2 linked regions of the Drosophila melanogaster genome follow. The protein of the gene in region 1 interacts with the protein of each later gene in a pairwise test. Each region holds a gene or a part of one and is shown in the gene's direction. Other genes may lie near its edges.

Region 1 (13,409 bases):
TTGACAGCCTCAACGGGGAGATCGACATGGCCGTCTGCAGGAGCTTTATGCTCCAACTGCTCCGCGGACTGGCATTCTGCCACAGGTATACCTATATATGTATCAGCACTGGATTAGGTCTTATCTTGTGTCGATTATAGTTAGAATCAAGTGTTATTTGGAGTAACTTCATCTGTGGCACATTTCCGAATGATATCCATTTTATAGCATTGAGACTTAACTTACGCTACATTATCCTATTTTAGCCATAATGTCCTGCATCGCGATCTGAAACCACAGAACCTGCTGATCAACAAAAACGGCGAGCTAAAGCTAGCTGACTTTGGTCTCGCTAGAGCCTTTGGCATTCCCGTGAAGTGCTACTCCGCAGAAGTGGTGACCCTGTGGTACCGACCACCCGATGTCCTATTTGGAGCCAAGCTCTATACGACCAGCATAGACATGTGGTCCGCTGGATGCATTTTGGCCGAACTGGCGGACGCTGGACGACCGCTGTTTCCTGGCTCTGACGTGCTCGATCAGCTGATGAAGATCTTCCGTGTGCTGGGCACCCCCAACGAGGACTCCTGGCCAGGAGTTTCGCACCTCTCCGACTACGTGGCGCTTCCATGTAGGGATTCTAGACGGATTTTATTTATCGATACCAATATTAAAAGCCTATTTATATTATAGCTTTTCCGGCCATCACCTCGTGGAGTCAGCTGGTACCTAGGCTAAACTCCAAGGGACGCGACCTGCTGCAAAAGCTGCTCATCTGCCGGCCAAATCAGCGAATTAGCGCGGAGGCGGCGATGCAGCATCCCTACTTTACGGACAGCAGCTCTTCGGGACATTGAGGTCGGAAGGTTCTTTCCAAGCCACTGTTTTCACGACCTTTGATTAGACTTAAGCCAAAATGCGAGACTTTGTCCAGCAAAGATCTTTTAATTATATATGTATGTCCTTGCAGTAGAGTTCGATTATAGTATAAGATAAAAAGTTCTTTATAATTTCATTAGTTTGATTTACCAAAGCAAAAGGTTTGATTTATGACAATCCCTACCAATGTGACACTTAATATAGCCATTTGAGCTGCCAAATTAACATTTATCGATAAAATACTTATTGATTCAGTAAAATAGTTTTATTCTTAAAAATTTTTATGTTGAGTGTATCGTTAAGATCCGAAAATTGTTCAAATTCCTAGACGATATCTACTGTTTGTGTGAATGTGGAAAAAATATTTGAAATCCTAGTTTCTGTTTTCAAAGACTAAAAACTAGGCAATACATCTGGTTTCCAAATTTAATGAGTGTCGACGATTTTCTTATTACATTTATTGTGTATTTTTAAGAATTTCGATCTTTCTGAATGATATGAGTCATTAAGTAAATTAGAATAAAAAAAATTGAGATGTAACCTAGATTTTTAAACCAATAAAGACACTTACCGCAGCACTACGTCGTCGCAGCATGATGAATATTTTGAAGTGGTCGCCTCAACCCCCGGCACTCAATAGGGGTTAAAGTCGTTCTGCGCACTCGCGAGTTAGAAATTGAGAACTTTACAGATTGAGAGATTTTTTTATTGTGCTACGAATTGCTAACCGAACCGGTCGGATTTCTGAATCTTAAGCACCGAGTACCTCGGAAATTCTTTTATATATATTATTAGACGAATAAACAAGGCTACCTGTGGATCGGATAATTCGCTATATAGTTAATAATCGGAAAACTGTGTTAACCGCGCAGATAAAACAAAAGCTGTTATCAGCAGCAACCCATTTTCTAATATAAATAACAAATAAGTGCTGCAGAAATGACTTGGGGATTTGTAACCTGCGGCCCCAACGAGGCTTTAGTTGTCTCTGGTAAATCACACGATCCTTATATGCTCAAAATAATGTCAAATCGATTAAATAAATAAGTCAGTGAATAAAAATGAAATTGTCACGCACACACACATATATATACACCCCACCCCAAGTGACGTCACTATCGATTTTTGTGTACCGCAAATGTTGTTGTTGGGATAACAGGGGAAGAAGCTGAATATGCGGCAGTCCGAAGCCATGCGTGCGCATTTGAACGGCGTTGCGGTGCTGTTATCCAAATGCTGCAATGTTTTGTAAACAAAGTGTTTTTTGTTTGTTTTCTGCGCAGGGTGCTGCTACATGAAGCCGCTTTTGGTGCCGGGAGGACGAGCATTCGTTTGGCCAGTGGGCCAGCAGGTTCAGCGGTGAGTTTTAACCGGCTTAGACCAGGGGTTCCAACGAAAAGCCACAGGTTAGGGAGGCGCTAAAAAGCGCGGGTATTCGAAATATTATTCGTAAGAATTCGGTTTTATTAAAATATATTAAATTATAATAAAATAATCTTATTTTATCAGATAATATTTAGTTAATATTTCTGGCTTCGTATCTGAGTCCCTAGTCTTAAGATAACAAGCCCTCAGATGTTAAATGTCCGCCAATCTTCCCCAGAATTTCGTTGAACACGATGACCCTCCAGGTAGAGAGTCCTTGCGTGTACACCAGCCAAGGAGTGCCCATCTCGGTGACAGGCATTGCACAGGTGAAGGTCCAGGGTCAGAACGAGGACATGCTGCTGACCGCCTGTGAGCAGTTCTTGGGCAAATCAGAGGCAGAGATCAACCACATCGCCTTGGTCACCCTGGAGGGGCATCAGCGTGCCATCATGGGTTCGATGACCGTGGAGGAGATCTACAAGGACCGCAAGAAGTTCAGCAAGCAGGTGTTTGAGGTGGCCTCCAGCGATTTGGCCAACATGGGAATAACCGTGGTTTCCTACACCATCAAGGATTTGCGCGATGAGGAGGTGCGTAGTTCCAACCGATTACTTTTTACCACTCTCCCCGCACAACTAACCCAATCATCAGCAGTGATGGGAATAGGTTCTGTATTTTATATATATATTAGTTTTGGTTTTGTATACTTGAACAAAAATTTATTTAGCAATTCTGCAGTGATTCTATATATATTCAAACTTATTTTCTATTTTAGATTTTCTTTTTTTTATTCGATTTTCCCATCACTGTGTACCGGCTTCAAAGCTCCCTTTTTTCAAATAACCTCTTGTATATATGTGAATATATATATTTCTTGCATGTCCACATGGATCCTCTGTAGGGCGACTCAAAGGTGCGTATGTCCGCCCAACCGCCTGTGCGTGGAATCGTTGGGACACGTCCATCAAATTCAGCTTCTTGTGTAACTATCGGGATACTAACTCCTCGCGTTCAATTTCCATTTTCAGGGCTACCTGAGGTCATTGGGTATGGCCCGCACGGCGGAGGTGAAGCGCGATGCCCGCATTGGCGAGGCTGAGGCCCGAGCGGAGGCCCACATTAAGGAGGCCATTGCCGAGGAGCAACGCATGGCCGCACGCTTCCTCAACGATACCGATATTGCCAAGGCCCAGCGCGACTTTGAGCTGAAGAAGGCAGCATACGATGTGGAAGTGCAGACCAAAAAGGCCGAGGCCGAGATGGCCTACGAGCTGCAAGCGGCCAAGACCAAGCAGCGCATCAAGGAGGAGCAGATGCAGGTGAAGGTGATCGAGCGCACGCAGGAGATTGCCGTCCAGGAGCAGGAGATCATGCGCCGCGAGCGAGAGCTGGAGGCCACCATCCGCCGACCGGCCGAGGCGGAGAAGTTCCGCATGGAGAAATTGGCCGAGGCCAACAAGCAGCGCGTGGTCATGGAAGCCGAGGCCGAGGCTGAATCGGTTAGATACCATCTAAATATTTGCTTATAGACTACGATTAACTGAAGCATCTCCATCTTCTTTGCAACAGATCAGGATTCGTGGTGAGGCTGAGGCCTTTGCCATTGCGGCCAAGGCTAAAGCAGAGGCCGAGCAGATGGCCATGAAGGCAGAGGCCTATCGTGAGTACCGTGAGGCTGCCATGGTGGAGATGCTCCTGGACACACTGCCAAAGGTTTGTCAATGGTTAGATTAAAAGAATCTATAATTTATTCTATGTTGAATCTAATTCGCAGGTTGCCGCCGAGGTGGCTGCTCCACTGTCACAGGCTAAGAAGATCACGATGGTGTCCAGCGGAACTGGCGATATCGGTGCTGCCAAGCTGACCGGCGAGGTTCTGTCGATCGTCAACAAAGTGCCAGAGCTGGTCAAGAACATAACCGGCGTGGACATTGCTCGGGTACGTTCCAATTCTGAATTTATCTAACTTCAGAGCTCGTCGAGGTGAATGAATGACGACGCAATCGAAACCAAAACAAATGGCAATCAAAAGACTTTGTAGACAGGAGGACGCTGCTTTCGTTTGCTACCTTCGTTTGATTTGAGCCTTGTTTTGCGATATAAATTCCCTGGTTTCGATTCACTTTACGTTTCCTTTCTCTTCATTTCAGTCTGTGCATGCTGGCTAAAAAAGTACCCAAAAGAAAACCAAAAACACACAAAATTATGTACTCTTCAAAACGAAAATAAGAAAACAAAAAAGAAATTACGCTATATTGAACGATCGAATACTTCAAAACTGAAATCGAACGCATTTAAATTTCTTTATAATTAATATATTATTGAATCTTTGTGCTAACCCGACAAATTTTGCAACATGTTTTACACACACACTCAGAGAGAGGAGCAAAAATATTTTGTATTACATGTATAATGTATTTATATAAGTGTATTGCACAAAGCGTGGAATAAATATTCTTCCTTGGATCAACAAATTGAGTTTATTTTAATGGGTCGGCAAATATAAAGGAAGTTGAAATTTTAAAATACCAAAGGTTTTGGCGGTTATTCCACATTGCCACACTTTTCAATTTCGCATATGCGCTGCCACCTTTTGATATAAATACGTTGGGCAACCAGCGTTGCCATGCCTTTTAATTAATCCATAAACGATACGTCTTCAGTTATTTTATAATGTTTTATTAATTTTAAATATATTATTATTAATGTATTAATCAGCCAATTGTTTCTGATGAAGCATTGAAGTTGGCTTCTCTCAGATAACTTCAGCTTTAGTGAAAGTTATGAAAAGGAATGGAATAAGAGAATTTGTAGGCATTTATATATAATAGCATTGTTATCACAAAATATATATTATATATTCAAGACGCAAAAAACAATCGATGCGATATAAGAAGTTGAATACATCGATAGTTTCGATAGGTTGATGTTGTACCATCACTAATAGCAGCTCTGTCCAGCTGTGCGGATAAAAAATCATAATCAGAATATCAGTATTATAACGCACATTACTCCCAAGAGTGTAATCTGAAAACCCACTTGAGTTAAGACAAATCCTAGAAAATAGAAAACCATAAATATTGTTTCCGCTCAACAAAACAAACACAAAGAAAACAATTGCGGCAGTGGGAAGGAAAAAAGTTCCGCCTTCAAAAGAGGAATCAAGTGGTAAAAACTGCATAAATAAGTCAAGCATAGCCGCAGAACTGTAGATAATATCACAATTAAGTGATGACCAGTAGACTTGTTGACTTTTTCAGACTTCATATCGCTGCCTGTGTTTATTGATTTTGTTTTTGGCCTGTTATCAACAACCTGCCGCCCACTCCCACCCTCCCCCTCTCCACACTCGACAAATGTATTCTTATTTACCCAACAAACAATTGGTTTTCAAAGCCACATATCTTATCAGTCAGTCCCCCCGAAATCTTGCTAATTTGTTTATACTTATCTGATCACCGCGATCGGTGATAATCCCAAATTAGATGGAGATATCTGCTCAAGCAGATGTTAATTGACCGATGGCTTTGTTAATCGAATTGCTGCTACCTAACAAAAGCGATTCGATTCAAACGTGTTAAATAGTAATTTGCGCCTTGAATAATGCCGCACCCACTCGTCAACAAAAAATCAATAAATGCAGATCCCTACCAACTTTATGCACTCACACACTCCCTCCAATTTTTCCATTCTAGCTAAAATGACTACCTAAAGCCCAAGGTTTATCTGTGTAAAATTCACGGACCACGGACCTTTTATCACTTTTGAAAGCAGAACCTAAAGACACCGCAACAATGAAACTAAAACGCTGGCGGCACAAGCGTAAATAGTTATTTGTCAACGGATAACCGAAGGAGCAAGACATCCCCCAAAAGGCGGGAAAAGAAGCTAAGTTCGTTTGGAAAACATTCGAAAAACAGGCGAATAATCATGCTAGGTCGCACACAACGTCTCCTGTTGGGCATATCAATACTGGTACTAGTCGATGTGGTTTGGGTCTCATCCAGTGAGCTGACAAAGGTGATAATTTTGTTTTGAAAACATTTGGAAATCGGTTTGAATTTTGATATACTTTACTAGTTCCTGTACAATGAGGCCAATTTTGACAAGCCCTTCTTCTGCACATACTTCAAAACCTCCATGTTCAGCATTTACCTGCTAGTCATCGGTATCCTGGCTCCCTGGAAAGAGTCATGCGAGCGACAGAATGGAAACTATGCTGTAAGTAATTAGATATCCTAATTATAAACCCTACTAAGTGATTCTTCTTCCCTTAGATGATGGAGCAGAATGCAGATGACGAGAATTATTACTCCAATCAGGCTGTTTTGGTAGGCAAATCATACAATCATATATTATGTACAAAAAGATGTAACCTTTGTCTATACCTACTAGGGAGACCCAACCTATGTGCCCATCAGATCGCCTCACTTAGGAGCCGGAGGACAATCCAATGGCACCTCAAACTCCATATCGGGCACCGAAAGCGATGATTCAAGTGTAAGAAGTGTGCGCTTCAGCAAGATGGCCGAAGTCAGAGAGATGTCTGCCCACGAAGCCACCGATGCCTTAATGGCCAGGCTTTCGTATGCCGCCAGCTTGAGAATTAGGCGCCAAAAGACACACCACAAAACGGCAAAGACTGCGCTACTCTTTTGTCTGCTCTGGTTTGCGGCCAATTACTTCTTTCAGCTGGCCCTGGAAATGGACGAGGCGGCCATGATAACACTGGTTAGCTCAACATCGTCATTCTTCATTATCTGCCTGGCAGCCGTATTTCCCTCGGCAACAGGTGACAAGCTGACTATCACCAAGGTGATTGCGGTGGCCATGAACATTGGCGGAGTGGTGGCCATCACCATGAACGACCTACACGATACCAAGATGACCAGAGGCGTCCTTTTAGCCCTTTTCAGCGCTTTCTTCTATGCCGCCTATTTGGTTTTCGTGAAGCGAAAAAGCGATACGGAGGAGAAGGTCGATATACCATTGTTTTTCGGTGAGTAAAATTGCTAAATTTTGAGTTTGATCGCTGCTTATCTTCTGACTCCCTTTTTAGGTTTTGTTGGCCTATGGAATATGTTGCTTTTATGGCCAATATTCTTTATCCTCCACTTCACCAAAATAGAAACCTTTGAGCTGCCCAGTCAAGGGCAGTTTGCCCTTCTATTTTTGAACGGCTTAGTTGGCACTGTGCTGTCGGAGGCTCTTTGGCTGTGGGGCTGCTTTTTGACATCCTCACTGATTGGCACGCTGGCAATGTCGCTACAGATTCCGCTAGCCATCCTGTTCGATGTCCTGCTGAAGAACAAACCGTATTCGCCGATGTTCTACATGGGCTCGATACCCATCTTTGTGGCCCTGGTGTTCGTTTCGCTATTGATGCGTAACGACGATTCCGACCCACTGATGAAGCTCTTTAGGATTGTGTATAGAAAAGTCTGCCGGTGCCATAAGCCAAGCATTGTTAGGTGAGTCTGGTGTTCTGGCAATATGAACTGTCTTTTAACAGCATAATTTCTTGCCTAGGGTCAACGATGACGAACAACAGGAGTCGCTGATAAGCAACAGCGATTAAACAATAGCAATAATCACGAATGGAGGCTTTTTGTAAAAGTCGGGCTTCTACAAACTTTGAATGTTGCTCATTGCAATGCAATCTAAAACTTGGCTGTTTACGAGTTCGTTTCGAATCGTTCTTAAATCATATTGGGACAAGTCCTGCACAATTTCCCTTCGGCCCTGATTTGTGTTTCTCATTTGTGCATTTTTCGTTGGATATTATTGTGTTGCGAACTTACGTACAACTATTTATTATAATCTTACAAGTGTATTTATTCTCTGTAAATAGCTTTAGATCCCACGAATACCGTTTATCTATGTGATAGTCTACAACGTTTTGCTGAACTCCACCTATAATTTATTTCCTCGGTATTCACACTGCGCTTAGCTGTATAATTGTTGACTTCTCAATACAAGATGAAAAAACATATACACATATTGATAACTAATTACAATAAATAAAACTTGTCTACCGTAAGCTTTAAAATCTGCTGAATCTAAGGTTAATAGCCATACGGTGGCAGCGGTTAATCGTATGTAAATTAGAAACCATTACTTTTTCATTTTTAAATAATGTCGATTACACGATTTCTGAGTTTATGCTTTATGGAACTTATTTATTTTTGATAAGAACTGATTTTTCATGATTCATAGAACTAATTTATTTTGTATTTTACCATTAAGAACCGATTTTTATATTGTACTTAATCATGAACTTTCCCAAAGTTAAAAGTCATTATTTTCAATTAAATAATTCACTTTAATTTTCATCCTATGTCCTAAAAATATATATTTACAATATGCGACTCCTAATGTCTAGAACTTAAATAGGTATGTACTCAATAAGATCACACAAGTTCATTTCTGTACTGAAAGCGCACACAAAGTGGCATCTGTGTGGCCCAGAGTGGCACGGCGAATGCTTCAGTTCCAATTTATCCATGCCTCCGACGGATCACACCGCTGTCGTTGGCAATGGAGCAGGAGGACCAGATCCGGAGCTGGGTGGAATCTGTGCCGCGCGGGAGGTGGATGGCTCCATCGGTTCCATTGCGATGACAGTGGCTTCTGCGGCGGACGAGGAATGTGGATCTGTCTCCGAATACGGTGGCGCCGGCAGTGCCGCGATTCCAATGGGACTGGGTACACCGAGGGGCGATTGGGGAACAGGCATTCCAGCCGCTGCTGCTGTGGGAGTGGTCAGGTTACACATGCGCATCACCTCGTCGTAGCTGGGTAAATCCTTTTCATCCTTTTCCAGTTGATCGCGAATGCGGTTGGCCTCCACGCTGCCGGGTTCGATGAAGAAAATGTCGCCATAGCGGTTCGATGAAGGATCCTCCTGTGCGTTGAATACATTACGATCTGAAAATAGGTTAAGAAAAATAAGTGAGTAGTGAATAGTGAATAGTGAAGTCTTTAAACATATAAAACTCATAGGACGAATGATAAGAATTTAATTAAAGATTACTTGATTACATCATATTGATATTTGGGTAATGTCATTTAAAGGAGAGTTGTTTTATACACTTCGAAATATTTGTATATGTGCAGTTTGATTAACCCACACAACAACCTTGTTATTCGTTAATTAATTAAAATTGGAAACACTGCTCTAAACACGACCTGATAAGCACATTTTAAATGGGCTTCTAAAAACGAGTTGATTAGTCATATTAGCACTCCAAATTTCACACACACAATAAACACTTTTGAGGATAATATTTCTACCAGTGTGACCCAAATGGGCTATGTTCCATACCAGCTTGTATCTGGCGACGATTTCGAATCCTTGAGTCGTGCATTCGCTTGGCCAGCTAACAAATAGATAAATCAGTTATGGGCTTCTTTACTTCAAAGCCATTAAGATAAACTCAGCTTGCAGGATTAACTACATACGTATATAAGCTGGGCCACCGCGAACATGCAAAACACAAAGCCCAGCGCGACGCTCAGATTAGCTGTCAGACCCATTCCGCAATTCTCGAAGACTGGCCAAAAAGTAATCGCCCGAACCTAACCGATTAGATTGGCTTCCTGCCCACTTTCGGATTGGCACACGTTACCAATTTCAATGCCGTATCGCTGACGATGGTGCTCTGGAATCCTCTGCTGACGTCGACATCGCGGCTGGCAGATCTTTGCCAGAGTTTGGCTCTCTACGCGGATGTAGTAGCAGGCCAGCGGTAGTACGCAGAAAAAGAAGAACACCAGGGCCAAATAGATGGCTATGTGCAGGCCGAAGCCGCTGCCCCAATCCAATGTCGGCTCCGATCCGTGCATGATGAGACTTAGAACGACGCGGAGCAGGAATCAATGCCGAACTACAGCCACCAACTGCGTTTTGTAGACACTAGTATTACCCATAGTTCGCCGTTCAGCACGCAATTGATTAGTCGCCCAAGATTAGATTGTCCGCCATGTTTGGTTGGCATTACCCCATAAATGTTACTCCATATATCAGATATACCATATATACGGTCCGGCGGTTTGCACACACAAACCAAAGCCAGTGTAACTTACGAGAATCTATTCGATGGTTTCGATGTCTATAACACCAGCATTTCAAGATCCAAACAACAGCGAACTTTGGGGGAATAAGAACAGAACTTGGTTACCAATCACCATCGAAGGGATTTGCTGAATCTAAGGATCACCTGTAGGGCTGCATAGGCCACGATGCCGATCAGCAGGCGTAAAAAGAAAGTGGCTATGAGTTCCATTTTGCAACGAGCTCTCCAAAAGACTGACCCCCCAAAGTTACTGATTTGCAATATTAGCAAGACGTTCGAAATCAGCTTATCACGAAAGTCCACAAAACAAACACTCTAGGCTTTATGGATTTATGGTAGCACTTGATCATCAAACCCACCCACACACAGTCACTGTTTGTATCAGTTAGTCAATACATATATAAAACCGTCAATACATCAATACATCAAGCCATCAGAGGCAGTTCAAGCCATCAATACATACCAGTACGCTGGCGTTGACGTTGTCGTCGACGTCTACGTCTTACCGGATCTTGAAATCCCCGAGGATTGGTTCCACAGCACTTGTTCAGAATAATCCATAGTATAAACTTTTGGGGGAATATCAAAGAAGTGATGAGTGAAGGACTAAGGAAGGAAACTTATATCCCTCGCTTAAAGTTAGGTTCAAAAATGTGGTGGACAGATACCTGAAGAGCGAAATAGACCATGGGCATGATCAGGAAGAAGATAAAGAACAGCCCCACATAGAAAATAAAAAAATCCATTGTGTCAATACCCGCCAGAAAAAAACACACAATCGAATCACTTGAATGGCGAGTTAAAACTGAGAACTCTGCAAAACGAATTTCTAGCTAATCTTATCTGGGCCAAGAAACCCATCTGATTGGCCAAGTATCTATATATATACCGTCCGATAGCCACCGAAAATAAGTCAAATTTGGCTTGTTTTGAATGAAGCGTACCATGTCGGCGTCTGCGACTCCTGGAATCCCTGGCCTCGAAGCACACCCAAATGCAGAATCTCAGGCAGCAGAAGGTGACCGCACAGGAAATGAAGGCCAGGAAGAAGAACACCAAATACGGCGGTATATTCGACATTTTGTGATCCGAAAATTCGGTATATCCACGTGGATACGCGAGCACCGGCGATGTTATTCGCTCCATGAAAAGGCCTTAGGCCAACTGTCATAATATGGCGCGTCGCTAGCTTTTGGCCAAGACTTATCGGCGACTGGGAAGAGCGCGGATCGCGGGAGCGGCGGACAGGTGTGTCAAGGGCCATGTGATAAGCGCTCGACGCACAGAGTCCGATAAGATACGCCTCGCCACTATCGCTGTCTCAGTCGGGCGGCGTTCTATTACCTGTGTGCCAGCTGTAAAAGTATCTGTATCTGACAGATATGCGCATAATTACGCTTTGGATAATGTCATCCGGGCACGTGACAGGCGAAAGTCGCGAAACTAATTAAGGAAGCAAATGTCACATAAATCAAATGTTCTAGATTATACTTCTACAAGCACTTGAAAATTATATAGATCGTTTGGAAAACTTTTTTTTATAAACAATTGTAAATTTCTTGCAGTGCAAGAACTATTCTGATTATCAGATTTTCTGTTATTTAATAGATTGGGGTAGATAAGATTTAATTTAAATTTTTATCTGTACATGGTATACTTAAAGAAAAACAAGTGTCTAATAAAAAAAACATGTTATATGATATTTTAGAAAACCGATTAGTTTGCGAATGGAAAATTGGTATTGAAATATATTCATAATTTTCTCTCTTTAAATTCATTCAATGCCATGTTCAAAAAATCAGTTGACACTTTGAAATCTTCCTAATTAAGTAATTTCTTATACTCATTGAATAATAACCAAATGCTTCTTTCTCATGTCTTACAACCCATTATTGTAAATGAACATTATAAGGCATTGACTTTAGCCAAGCGTAAAGCAGCGAATATAGCTGAATGTGTAATTAATTCATAGCGATTCATTTGTAGACAGACAAAGGAACATAATTTAAAGGGCGGAAGAACATTTTCGCCATCAAAATGAATGCCACAAATCACTGCGGGCCACCTGAGCTGCTCACCTGGCGTCCAACTGAGACGACTACTCAATCCCGGCGACGAGGGACACGAGGAAACGAATCTGCTCAAGGGCGGGCTAACTGGCAATCTCCTTCGACGCTTCTGGGCTACACATCTCTGCAATTATCTGGCGGATTCACTTCCATTTGCATTGATAGCCACTAGTTTTGGGCCAAGAACTCACACTGATGGAAAAGTATAAAATCAGCAGGAAGAGGAGCAGCAGGACACCGAACTCGCACCAACGGAACTGGTCGCCCATTTTGCGGAATATCTATATGGCCGAACTGCGACCGTACATCTGAATAAATTAACGCTACTGTCGAACATTGGGAATCTAACCGAACAACCGAACCCATCGATAAGGGAGGCACCATAGATAACTTTATCGAAAAACGCTTGTGACTCATGGCTGCTCACCTGTGCTGAGGGTTACTCCTGACTGATCGATTCTATAGCTGTGCAGAACCCTTCCGGGCTGTCGATTTGTTGGATTCTCCCCAGGACCAGGACCTCGTCCTGGACCACGACCACTTGAGCTGGTTCGACTAGGAGTCTTTTGTGTGGCGCACAGACAACAAGCCTACAGGGTCAATAGGGGATCGTTGTCATCAGACAGGGGTTGAAATTTTGCGATAAATCACTTGAGAACTTACTCGAATCAGTATGCATACAATTGAGATTATGAGGAACCAGCCAATCATCATAAAAGCGTAATAGGGCATTATGAAATTGAGAACTTAAGACCGGAAGTCCAGAACAGACAACAGCACCGATTTACCACCGTTCGCCGCGCACAAGAAACCTTGCTGAAATGGCAAAGGCAATGCCACTCATTGCTAACAGCCTAATCACCAAACAAAACCAAATCGCACATACAACCCTTATCAATCGGCATACAATTTTGCGATTAAAACTAGGCATACACGCGCACAGCCAACGCAATCGGTGGTCTCAATCGGGCTGAATCGGGACTTACGCACCTGGGGATTGGCCCCCTGCCGAAAAGCTTTCGGTATCGTAGTCCCCGGA
Region 2 (12,293 bases), on another chromosome or scaffold:
TCAGTCTCCTAGTCAGACACCAAGGCAATCCCTGGTACAGGCCATGCGGGACAGTTTCGTGGATCAGGGCTTTGAGACATGCTCGAACGATCCGATGGACAACAGTCCGATACGCCGATCTTCGCTTGGAGCCACGGAATCGAAGCCATCCGGTTTTTCCACGCCAGTTAAGGGACGCCATGCTTCCAGTCCGGCGCAACAACAACTGTTCAGTCCGATTCTCATCCAGGAGCGCCCTCGTCGCAGTTCCCTGGCCATGCAAGTGATCCGGGAGGATCATCCGCTCGATCTGGACGCCACCTCCAGCTCACCCTCCACACCGTGCAGTGAGCGGGAGTTCTTCGCCAATGCCCCGACTGTTGAAATTGATAACTCCCAGGATGAGAGTCCGACCGGCAAGGCGCACTCAATGTTCTGGATCACCTCTGGGGACTTCACAGTCTCCCTGGAAATCTTCAAGAACAGCCCGGAGCGCCTGCGACTGCTGTACGAAATCTTCACCCAGAAAAGCTGGGAGACTCGTGACCTGGCCTTCGGAATCGACGGACACAAGTTCATTCGCGGAGCTCCCAGTTCCGACTCCGTCCGACAGTCGCTGCCCGAGCGTCCACCCAGTGTGAAGGGCTGCTCTCACTATTGGTTCGCCAGCGGAGATCTCGCAGTGCCCTTCAGCGGAAAACTGATGTCCAGCGAGAAGATCGAGCGGCTGTTTGCCTTCCTCAGCGGAGAGCAGTCGGAGTTGCGCTTCGGCGTTGACCACATTGAGTTCAGCAGCGTGCCTGAGTTCTGGCCCACCACCCAGAAGTATTCCATCGAGAGCAGCTACAGCATACTGGTGGGTCTGCAGACAGGTGCCAGCAATGGCCTGGAGGGTCGCAGCAAGTACTCCTGGCCCAACAGCAGCATCAGTGCCAACCAGGCGATCAAGACCAGCGACCTGGATCAGACGGAGTTCGAGTCCGATAGCTTCGGCAACAACAGTGGTAGGCTGTCCTTTTCGCCTGATCTCTTCTCCCTGGACTACGAGGCGGTTCCCCTGGACGAGCTGTTTGCCAAGGCTCCTCCCTCTGCCGCCACACCCGCCATGTCCGTGCCGCAAATGATGCAGACCCTCAAGCAGCAGCAGTCCAAACTTCGCAGTGTGGAGCAGCGCATTCGTGGCTACGCCAAGCCCGCGAATCTGGCCGACTCTTCGCTGGAGCACTGCCGCAACACGCCGCAATATGTCCACAAGCTGCGCTCCATCATCCGGGCCATTGACAACATTGGACGCGACGATGGCTTCCGCGGCTGCTCGATGGAGCAGCTCGAGAGCTTCATGTACTTCCTCAGCGAGTATGCGGATGTGTGCCTGGCCAACTGCAGCGAGCACATGGACAAGATTCTCGACACCCTGATGGACCGGAGGGCCGTGGAGGTCTGAGCGATGGTGCTACCTCATCGGGATCTGACTTTATTTTAAGATTTTATAAACAATTAGTTCCTAGACATTAACATATAATGTTACAAAGATTTTAGATAATAAACTTTAAAGAGAAAAGTTAAAGCCATTCAGTGTATTTCCTTGGGCATGCAGAGTCCAACAAAATCAGGGGTTCTGGAGGGCATAGCTCCTTGCTATCCTGCAGACACGTAGGAGTCTGGCAAGCATCACGTTTCCTGCAAGCACATGGTTTCTTTTTCTTGCTCTCATCAAGCAAATGCTCCTGTTGCATCAACTTCAGACATTCCTGGCCAAGGATACCATGTTAGTGCACATCCAGTGGCCAAGGGAATCCGTTTGGGGCCAAAAGGAGTTGCTGGGTTCGGTTCAATAACAATTTCACGTGCAAAAGTGCTGCGCAAACATGGTATCAGAGAAAAGTACTAACTATTAATGCAATAAATGGTTACTTGTTCAACATAAAATAAAAGTCCCGTCGACATTCTTTTGACTTTCAAATAAAAAATAATAGTTATATTTTTGCACAAGTACCACTGGTCAATATCAAGAACCACAGATTACTGAAATAAAAGTCGCTTAAGTTTTAAGAAGCAATCCCAAATACATAGATATTTTATTTGTTTCTTTCGCAGTGCCAGTTTGTTCCGCTCGGGGAGCAAGTTAATAAATATACATTATCACTCTTATCGTTAAGAAACACAAACTAAGGCCTATGATATATGTAGGTATTTAAATATATATATATATATGTATTTCTGTATGAGTAGTTTAGAACTTACATATTTGGATTTGGCTTTATTTGGATTATTTCTCAACTGTAAACCCGTCTTAACTGATCAGCTAACTAAATTATGTATCAACAGTTTTCGCTTCAATCGTGAATATTCGTAATTCATATTTGCTTAGTTACTTATTTAGGTTAATGGTTTTTGATTAATGCATTTTAGGTGCCTGTTTTTCAGAGTATTTAAGCCTTTCGCTTTCCCGTTAAATATCTAGTTTTGAAATGGTTTGATGCCTACTCTCGTACAAATGAACATTCATTTCTAGTGCCTATAACGAGTACATAATTTACAATTGCATTTGGGGTTTTATCCATGCATATACGCGCTTATTTACAGTTGGAGGTGAGTGAGTAGTGCTCTCTTTTTAACAATTTGGCATCATTCGAAGGGTATACTATTTTTTCCCACTTGTATTTATGCAAATTAATTGATTTTATATCTAACTAACCAGGATTTATGTGCTTTGGTTTGCATCGCATGTTTGCTTTGGCCCTGCCGAAATGCTTTTTACAACATTCTTCGCATACCCTCACCGATGGTATAGTGGTTTTAAAACCAAACGAATTTTTAGAAAATATTTTAGAGTGCTTCCGAACGAATGGTAAACAAATATGCGAGGTTGATTAATTTGGTAACTTTGTTTGCCTAAAAACACGCTGTGGTTTTCGCCACCAAACGTAATCAAATATTAATGGGCTGCATAGGGAGTTTCGGGGAAAACCAAAGCTTGACTTCGTTAACGTTTGCAAATTGCAATTCGCTTAATTAATTACACAGTTGTTATGGCTAATCGTATGCATCGGCTTCGAACACCTTTCATTTCGACTGTTTGTAATGGCACTTTATTAAAATGGAATCGCACATAGTTCTCAACCACACGAGTGTGTCGTCAGCAGTGCGAGGATGCAGCAGATGAGGGGCCAACTGGACGCCATTAGGTTGCCATGACTCCCGCTGCTCTTGCCCTTGGACCAATCGAATCCCTTGGGACTGCTGCCCGTCAGCTTCTGCTTCGACTTGTCGATCTCGTTCAGATTCGATAGGTATTTAATGCTCGCTGCAATTGATAATGAAAAGTGCAACGTGTTCATTTGTTCTGCCAACATCAACATCCTATGCATTTTTTGGGCACTACTCACATTTGCCGGACGCAATCACCGAATTTGTGGGTCCTTCGCCCACAATGCCAATGCCATTGCCATTCAGGGGCGTGTTGATGTAGCCGTCCAGTGCGATTTCCGCCGCGGTTGTTGTCGTCCGCCGCAGCGTTGTGGTTGTGGGCGGCGGTTGTGTTGTCGGCGGACTCGACACTACACGTAGAGAAATATTGGCGTACATGAGTGGTAGAAATAATTCAATAAATAGAAGCTATCGCAAAGTGGAACTTTAAAGGAAGTGTAACGCTACATGTCAGAAATGAATCCTTTTTCTTTTATACATTTTTTTTGCATTATTTTATCTACTTTCTGTCAGTGTAGTAATTAAAATAAGGGGTAAGAGCGTGATGTCTGCGCCAAAAAACGGTACCGAACAAAAGTGGATTGCTCAATCGGAAACAATCCATAAACAACTTAAATTAACTGTGAGTTATAAGCCAGTCCTGCCCCAAAAATGTGCGCCCCATCAGTGCCGAAACTCCTTTGCTCGATTTCTAAACAGATATTTTCGGTTACCCAGCCGCATTGTCTTCACTTATCAGCCATCGTAAATTCAGTGCAATCCCTTTTGCCCGCCCTTCCCCCCCGATTCTTTTCAATTTCTTGGCCATCTCCCCGGGGAGGATTAACAACTCTCGGTTCCTTTTCTCGGCTGGCTGCCCTCCGTTGGCATTATTGAAGACAATTTGTAGAGGAAATTTATTGGGCTTGACACTTGGCCTTGCCTCGGCTGGGAATCACGAAACTATAGCCCACTCCAATGCCTGGTTGATGTCGCCTTTCTGCGACTGTATCGCCTCCTGACCACTCAATAAAATTGTCACAGGTTCATTGTTCTCATTGTCGGAGCTGCCCCTTCTATTATCGATGCGGCCATTGTTACCTTTAATTGGTAGAATGACGCCCACTTTTCGATGGGCTACACAGGCCATTGTTGTGGCAGCAGAATGAAAACCGTGTATATATAAATTAAGTTGTCTTTTCACATTCGCCATTCTTGGTGGCGTTGGGCTCTTGTCACCACCTCACAACCTCACCACCAACAAGCGGGCATTTTATTTTGTTTTATGAACTTTTGTAATCGGAATCGCTGCTGCCGAGCTGAGCTTTAATGGCCCAAACAGTGACTGGGGAGTAATTTAGCAAATTGACACAATATTGACACTTTATTGACACTACAGTGGCTCTAATTGCCGGTTGTGAGGATTGCGCATACGCCCCGTTGACGGCGGCAAGGATATGAAGAAAAACGTCGGTGAGACAAATTAAACGCGTCATTTCCTTATTAAATATCAAAATCTAATCTTGCTGTATATTAAAAAGTATTTGGGCACCAAAAATCCTGATAAAATGAACAGTACAATCTGCTTCCTTTGGAATCAAGGAACTGTCGGAGTTTCAAGTTTAAAGACCCCCCAAAATACTGGCGCCCATTTAAAAAGGGGTGTACATATACATTTGCCTATGACAGTGGCGCAATATCAAAGGGTATAAATAACACATATAGCCTAGTCACTTACTGTACAGCTTTATGTTGCCGTCCATGTCGCCCCGAGGATTTTTGGCGACGCACTTGTAGTTGCCATAATCGCTGCTCTGAACGTTGGTAATCGTGAGCCGCATGGTCGCCTTGTACGACGGATGGCCGGGAATGGTTTCGGTTCTGAAAGTGGAGAGACGGAGGCATCAGCGTGAGGCAAGTTCAATGACAGCCATTGTGCTCATTGTGGGTCAGTTCCACAACAGCCCACAATCGGGTATCAAGGCCAAGGTGAAACTGATAAGCGCGCACTTATGTCTAATCAAAATGCGACCTAGCCTACAAAGTACAGTGGCTCCAGGTACTGAAGATCCAATTTAAAGTCAAATATTATAATATCTTACGAGTGTTTAATGCTTTGAAGAATATGCCACCAAATGGGGTATAAAGTACGTTCTAGGATCATGTTCTTCGAACTTTGAACCTATTAAAGCATTTTTGTTAATTATCACCTTTGCCTGAAAATAGAAAGGTCAAGTGGTCAAGTACTGGGTGTGTATATATAGCTAGGATCCACTGCTCCTCCCACGATGATGACTGACAGGCGATGGGCCTGCTCTAGTCCGCAGTCTCCGCGATCCGGGCAAATCGTAGTCCGGCCAGTTGCAATTTGTCACAGTCGAAACCATCATGCTGAAGCTAAGCCTAGTGGCCTGGCTCATATTTTCGCTGGCTTGGCGCACCACGCCCACCGCCTGTCGCCAGACCAACGCACCCCAGAGCGTTCAGGAAATGCTGGCCGAGCAGCTGCAAAGCTACATGGATACGAAGGCGCGTCCCTGCGAGAACTTCTACCAGTACGCCTGCGGCAACTGGCAGATCCAGCAGCAGGAGCAGCACTCCCTGCGCGACAGAGATTGGACGAGGGATCGGCAGCGGTACCAGGGTCAGATGCTGCCCACCGACACCCTGGGACTGATAGACCACTCCGTGAATCGGAAGCTGGAGCTGCTGCTGCGGCGAAGGAATGAGAGCTCCTTCGAGTCGGACTCCTCGATTCTGGAGCAGATGCGACTCTACTACCGTTCGTGCAAACGCCTTAAGCCGTACAACCTCAAGAAGTACCTGCAGCTCCTGCCCCCCAGCAACTCCACGCAGTGGCCATCGGTGGGTCGGGGCTGGCGTCCGGAGCGGTTCGACTGGATAACGACCTTGGGGCGACTGCGTCTGCACGGACTGAACGGGGTGCTGCTGCGGGAGGAGGTACTGCCGCGATGGGATGACTCTCGCAACTACAGTATCTATGTGAACAAGCCGAGTCGCCAGGAGACGCAGCCCATGGGAGAAGGTGCCATGATCGAGCTGCTTCTGGACATTGGGCAGACAAAGCGAACGGCCAATGCCTTGGCTCGCCAGGTGGACGACTTCGAACGAAAATTGCACCGCCTGCAGGAGCTGGAGGACGACGAAGGACCACGAGAAATGCAGCTTGGTTACTTGGACTCGTACCTGCCACAGCTACGATGGTTATCCTTCATGCGCCAGGTACGCATTGACTCCGAGCTGGATCTGCGCTCCACATTAATCATCGAGAATATTCCGTACCTCAGGGCCCTGAGCGATCTGATGGAATCGGAGAGCCCGGACACCGTTTGCAGCTACATCATGCTCAAGTGGTTGGCCTTCCTCAAGCAACAGGGACCCGCGGACATCTCACGAGGTGAGTGCGTGGCCGCCCTCAGAAGAGCCATGCCTCTGGCCAGTAGCTGGCTGGTGGGTCAGCAGTTCTCCGATCCGGAATCCGAATCCTACGTAAGCTCACTGTTCCAGCGTTTGAAGGTGCGATTTGGCCAAATCTTGGCTGAGAACCGAATGAGACTATCGCCACCACTGGTGCACATCCTGCAGCAGAAACTGCGCGCAGTTCGACTGCAGATGGGCTTCTTTCAGACGGAGGAAATTGAGGATGTGGAGCAGTACCACGTCCGCATCGACCTGAGCGGCCACTCCTTCTATGGCAACCAGCTGGTCTTGCTGCGACAACGCGTTGAGGCGAACCACGATCTGCTTTACATAAATGTGACAAACTTCGCAAATTCCACGGGGAGCAACTTGAGTTACCTGTCGGAAAGCTGGGAGGCCAGCAACTCGTCGCCCCTGTATGTGAGACCACGCAATCTGGTCCTGGTGCCGCACGGTCTGCTCCAGCTGCCCATCTGGCATCGAAACATTAGCGCCCTGCAGCAGCACGCCGTGATGGGATTTGTCCTGGCCCACGAGCTGGCACACGGATTCGATATGTTGGGAATGGACTACGACGCCATGGGAAACATCATGGGGCCCGTGGAGGAGATCGGCGCTAGCCGTCAGTTCCGACAAGGACTCCAGTGTCTTCAGCAACAGATGGCCACCGGTTCCAAGTGGATCGACGAAAAGCTGGCCGACTTTGTGGCTCTGCGTCTAGCGTATGAGACCTTTTTCGGGGTGCGGGACAAGCGGGAGCCCAGGGATCCTCTGCTGCCGCAGTTCAGCCAGCGGCAGCTATTCTTCATCACCTTCGCCCAGTTCTTTTGCGGCCGGACGCCCGTGCTCAGTCCGCGATCTCAGTCGGAGGCTCATTTGAAGCACGCCGCGGATGAGTTGCGTGTGATGCAGACGCTGGCCAATTTTGAAGAGTTCTCTAGGGAGTTCGGGTGCGATAAGAAGGCCAAGATGCAGGCCAGCCAGCGGTGCCGCATCTGGTAATAGTTCTCTTTCCATCTCTCCCACAGGACATGGCAGGATCCAGTGATGAATAAATAAAATCTCACCTAACGAAGAGTTTTTTAAATGTGAGTGAGTAACTCGATGGGGTAGTGAACTCTTTTCAGATCCATCTAGTTTATTGTTTAATATAGTTTTATACACTAGTAGATTTCAAGCACTACTTGAATCCAGTTACCACAGTTGGCACTTTTCAGGCTGATTGCTCTTTGCTGGACAACCAAAAGCTTCGTGAAACGGCGCGAACCCATTGAGCATTTGCTGCAGACGCGTCTCGTCGTTGTCGTGACCAACGAAGTTTATTGGATCACCATCGCCGCAGAAGAACTGTGCCAGATTGAGGAAGAAGATTTGTTGCGGCGGAATGGTCGTAAAATCGGTTAGACTCATTTGCGAGCTGTTCTGGAAGTAGGTGGAATAGGCCAGATCCAGTCCAGCAATGTCTGCAATACGCTCGTCCAGATACTGTGTACTGTTCCGGTTCAGGCACTGTAAACCCGCCACAAAGCGTGGCGAACTGGATATCTGCGGTCCGATTTCGTGTATGTTCCCATATCTGTCATAATAAAGACCCACGGTGTCGACTGAGTGCATCAACTCATGGGCAAGTACGAATCCCAACAGGCTGTACTTGAATATGTCGTGGCTATCCGCTGCAAAGAATGGCTCCTGTAGAAGTCCGTGTGGCACAACGATGATGTTTAGTCGCATTAGGTAGTAGGGTCCGGAGCTCATGGCCGTTTTAGGATCCGACAAGTAGAAGAACTCATCGGGTGTCGGAGCACTTTGGTTAAGTTGTAAAACCTGCTTTCTGGTGCGGAACTCCAGCAGGTTAAGATGTTCACGTGCGTAGTCGAAATCAGGGAGCGGAAAGACAAGATCCTCATAGTGCCGGCTGACAAAGCTACGATGGTCACGACCTCTTGGCAAATTCCCAATATTGAGAACGACATGCTGAGCTTTTGTGGCAACCATACTGTTCTGCTCACTGGTTAGCCCAAGGCGATTCTCATTGATTTGCAGTAGAAACTGCCGGCGCAGCTGTTCAAAGACCTTCGTAACTTCCTGGGTGTACTGCTGTAGTGTCGCAGGGTCCAGGAAGCGCTCCTTGTAGAGCAGGTTCGATGCCAGATTCATGTTGCGGCGCATATCCGTGACGCAATCAATGTGCTCATTGCTGTCAATAAAGTCGTCTATGAGGTAGAGCACGAATCGGGTCATGATGTAGTTGGCCACCACCTCGGCGTCCGTGGAGTCCATCAGCCGCTTAAGGCCCGTGAAGTACTTTGCATTCTGCGCCTGCATCACGTAGTGATGTGAGACACTATGGCCAACTATTGACTCGACGAAACCCTGCCATGCGTAGCCGGTTTTGTACTCCCACTGGCGCAAAGTCCAAGTCTCGCTTTCATCATCGTCGTCCACTTCGGTTAGGACGCGTATGGCGGACTCTAGCCTTCTGATCTTCCGCACAAGGGGTAATATGCTTTTCGTCGGCACACCAATGATCTGGAGAGTGGCGAGGGTACTTAGAAAACCGCCCAGGTGCTGCGCGTCCCCTTCGAGACTAGGCATACTGATGTCCAGTCGGAAGCGGTTACTGTTCTCAGAGCTCCGTAAGACCAACACGTTCACCAAAACATTGGTAAACCCATAGCGGTATAGGTGTCCCAAGGACTTCATCCACTTGAATTGAGCCTTTGGCCATGGCTCGCCGCGGGGCATAAACTGGGGCCATGTAAGTGCCTGGCCAGGAGGGGCTAGTCTAAGGTAGTGCTCCATCTTGCGTGTACTCGGCGGAGCTTCACGGCAGGTGCGGTAGAAGTGCAAGACCTTGGCCTCCACACTGGACTCGTTGAAGCCGGGTGACTGGGAGCGCTGGTGCAGCTCGTGCATCAGTTGGACTAGGTTTCCGTTCACCTTGTGGTCCAGCATCTGGATGATCTCCGTGAAGGGATCGTCGCGGTGACGTACTGCGTACTTGCCGCAGGCATATTGAAAGTAGGTGCCGCACGCACTGGAATCCTCCGCCACGTAGCTGAGGATGTTGTTCATTAGCCGTGAATTGGGATCCGCCTCGACATTCTGGGTTGTTGGAGCAGCGCAAATAGGAACAATAAACAGGCAGGCAATCAACCACATCGCAGACAGCAAACTGAGCCGAGATCCCAGATTGCTGGAAGCGACTGGCCGCGGAACGTCGACATATCAGCGAAATATAATGTGCCCACAGCTGATAATCCAGCCAAGAGATAACCCAAAACATCCTCAATCGAGAGGTGAAAAGACAATAGCACGATGACTTCAACTTACTTGTACTTTGATGACTCAGTGATCATTTGATCGTTTTCGCGCGTCCAATAGTTAAGTGAGGTCGGATTCGCCTCGATGAAGCATTCCAGGGTGATGTTGAATCCAATGGGAATACCCACCAGCTGATGCGGTATCCAGACCATGGGCGAAACTGAAACGAAATATATATATATATGAATATAAGAAAACCCAACTAAGTCCGGATATCAATTGACTTACAGTCCACGCTGACTTTGATCCGCTTGGACACACTTGGCGGCACACCATTCGATGCGATGCACAGGTAGGCGCCCATGTGCAGTCGCGAAATCCGCTCCAGCTCCAGGGAATCCGTCTCCAAGTCGTGCACTGCAATCATTTCTGGGTAAATGGCAAGCCAGAGGCTGGTCTAAGGATTGGACTCACCCTCGAGCGTCTTGTTAATAACGATTTTGTTGCCGTCATCGCGTTTCCATTTGATGGTCGGCTCCGGACTACCTTTCGCCTTGCAGCGTAGCGTAACGTTATCGCCCTCGCGCACGATGATGTCACTGGAGGTCAGAGCGTCGTCTATATTCGGCGGCACTATTGGATGGAGAGAGCGAGAGGCGGACATTAGGAGAGTATTTTACCCAAAAACTACACGGAACCGTGCAAAGCTCGATTTAAATGCAAAGGACAGAAGTGAAAAGTTCCACTTTCATGTAAATGTCGTTGCCAAGAAAGCGGAAACCGGTGAAAAACACTCCTAGGACTACAGAGACATGGGAATACCCTTTCAAAGAGAAGCACTTGTAATGCTAATAACTGGCTTATCAAAGCTACCCCCAGACAAGTTGGACTTCCCCAAGGCAGTTAGGAAGTGGAAAAAAAAGGAACATTTCACGCATTGTTGACTCCAATGCGCTCACTCCCCAGTGAGTTCTTGTTCTACTCACAGTCACTGCGTAACTTTAAGCCTAATTAGCTTTGCATCCAGATTCAGATTTGAAGTCCGTTTGAAATCCGTTGCTCCTGGCGAAATAAGGAATCATTCTGTTAATTCAAAAATCGATGCGGCAACCTTCATCAAGTTGTCATCAGGTTTCACTTCCCTTGCCATTCACTTTGTTTGAGGGATTTTTTCAATCTTCCGGGAAACTCTTTTGTATTTGGTCGAAAATCCCAGAAAATCTTTAATGAAAAATCTATGCAAATCACAGGGAAGCATGGAAAAGGTCATGGAATGGACAGCATACCGCACTGGCTTAATATCTGGCAATGCACACTGGTTCCAACCCGAAGTTAGCTGCGATAAATTACCATTCTTTTTCAAATGTATCTTATTTAAATGGAGTGTTTACCAGAACTTGGAGTTGGTAGTTGGAGCTGTGTTAGTTGTGTACATTTGTTAGCTTTGACAGTTGTTTTTTTTTATAAATTTCTAAAGTTGCCTGAAATGCAGTTTTCCATTCCAACAAAAAATCATAAATTTTATTTGCTCCTGCAATTTTCCGGGGGTCAAGGCCAGGTCTTCCATGACAGGTCACGTATTTGCAGTGACCTGTCGCCATTCATTCTGAATTGGACAGCTAATCAATGGCAGTCGGGTCAGCAAATGTCTGGTTTTCGGCACACGTTTTTAATTGATGGAACTGGAGGCCACGGGGCTATAAATATATATATACATATATTGTTCGCGTATCATTGCATCGTGGGGATTAACATTAATGGCCAGGTTATCTTGTCGTCGTAGAAAGTTGCCTTTCATAAGGAAAAACCCCTGTTTCAACTTTTCCCATCCGAGCACTATGGTAACCGTAGGGGGAAAAAAGCGTAATTAAAAGAAAAAACTTTTCAAAAGTTTCGCCCTTTTACCTTTTCTTTTCTCATGCCCAATAATGACCAAAAAACTTTTTGCCAAAGCTTTATTTCATGCTATTAATAAACGCTTGATGTGCTAATCGCCGGACAAACCAGGACAGATCCAGGACAGCACCAGGATGAAAAAAAAAAGTGGTGGCCCAACTTGGTGACCCAGCAGATGTTGTTCCCTTTGCTTTTGACATATTAGTTTCTTATTGATATTTTTAGCAGCTGCCGACATTGCGCAAACTTTGGACCCTAAACCAAGAAACTTTCTTTCTCGACATACATATGTGCATGTGAAATTTAATTAGTGGTGCAAGTGCTGGACACGAATTTCTATCGCTTATTACATAATGCGTCAATTGGTGTTTTTGGCTTAGCACTTCGCTTAGCAAGACCATCATGCGCTGCAAAATCCTTATAAACTTTTTAATTGATGTGTTTGGAAAGTTTTTAGTTATTTATCTTTTTTTGCTAGCTTAAAACGATAATGGCATTAGACAAGAATAATTCATTTTAATTTG

Evidence for each region.
Region 2: the proteins of CG8195 (region 1) and Nepl5 interact in a two-hybrid assay, tested with the Drosophila melanogaster proteins (one large-scale study listed by BioGRID).

The regions. Positions count from the first base shown.
Region 1 is NT_033778.4:15,557,559-15,570,967, reverse strand, and holds CG8195 (uncharacterized protein), read left to right. Parts: upstream 1-5,166; 5' UTR 5,167-5,394; intron 5,395-5,921; 5' UTR 5,922-6,156; coding exon 6,157-6,246; intron 6,247-6,306; coding exon 6,307-6,447; intron 6,448-6,503; coding exon 6,504-6,557; intron 6,558-6,621; coding exon 6,622-7,225; intron 7,226-7,285; coding exon 7,286-7,697; intron 7,698-7,755; coding exon 7,756-7,804; 3' UTR 7,805-8,271; downstream 8,272-13,409. Other genes in the region: Cdk5 (Cyclin-dependent kinase 5), read left to right, coding at 1-85, 246-610, 673-836; CG30466 (uncharacterized protein), read right to left, coding at 1,430-1,453; Flo1 (flotillin 1), read left to right, coding at 1,798-1,849, 2,142-2,217, 2,462-2,816, 3,128-3,139, 3,255-3,725, 3,796-3,939, 4,001-4,165, 4,377-4,394; CG12963 (uncharacterized protein), read right to left, coding at 8,744-9,153, 12,798-12,960, 13,034-13,102.
Region 2 is NT_033779.5:6,375,742-6,388,034, forward strand, and holds Nepl5 (Neprilysin-like 5), read left to right. Parts: upstream 1-5,524; 5' UTR 5,525-5,556; coding exon 5,557-7,611; 3' UTR 7,612-7,678; downstream 7,679-12,293. Other genes in the region: slam (slow as molasses), read left to right, coding at 1-1,423; DIP-epsilon (Dpr-interacting protein epsilon), read right to left, coding at 3,099-3,286, 3,369-3,539, 4,907-5,049, 9,943-10,093, 10,162-10,290, 10,348-10,506; Nepl6 (Neprilysin-like 6), read right to left, coding at 7,804-9,771.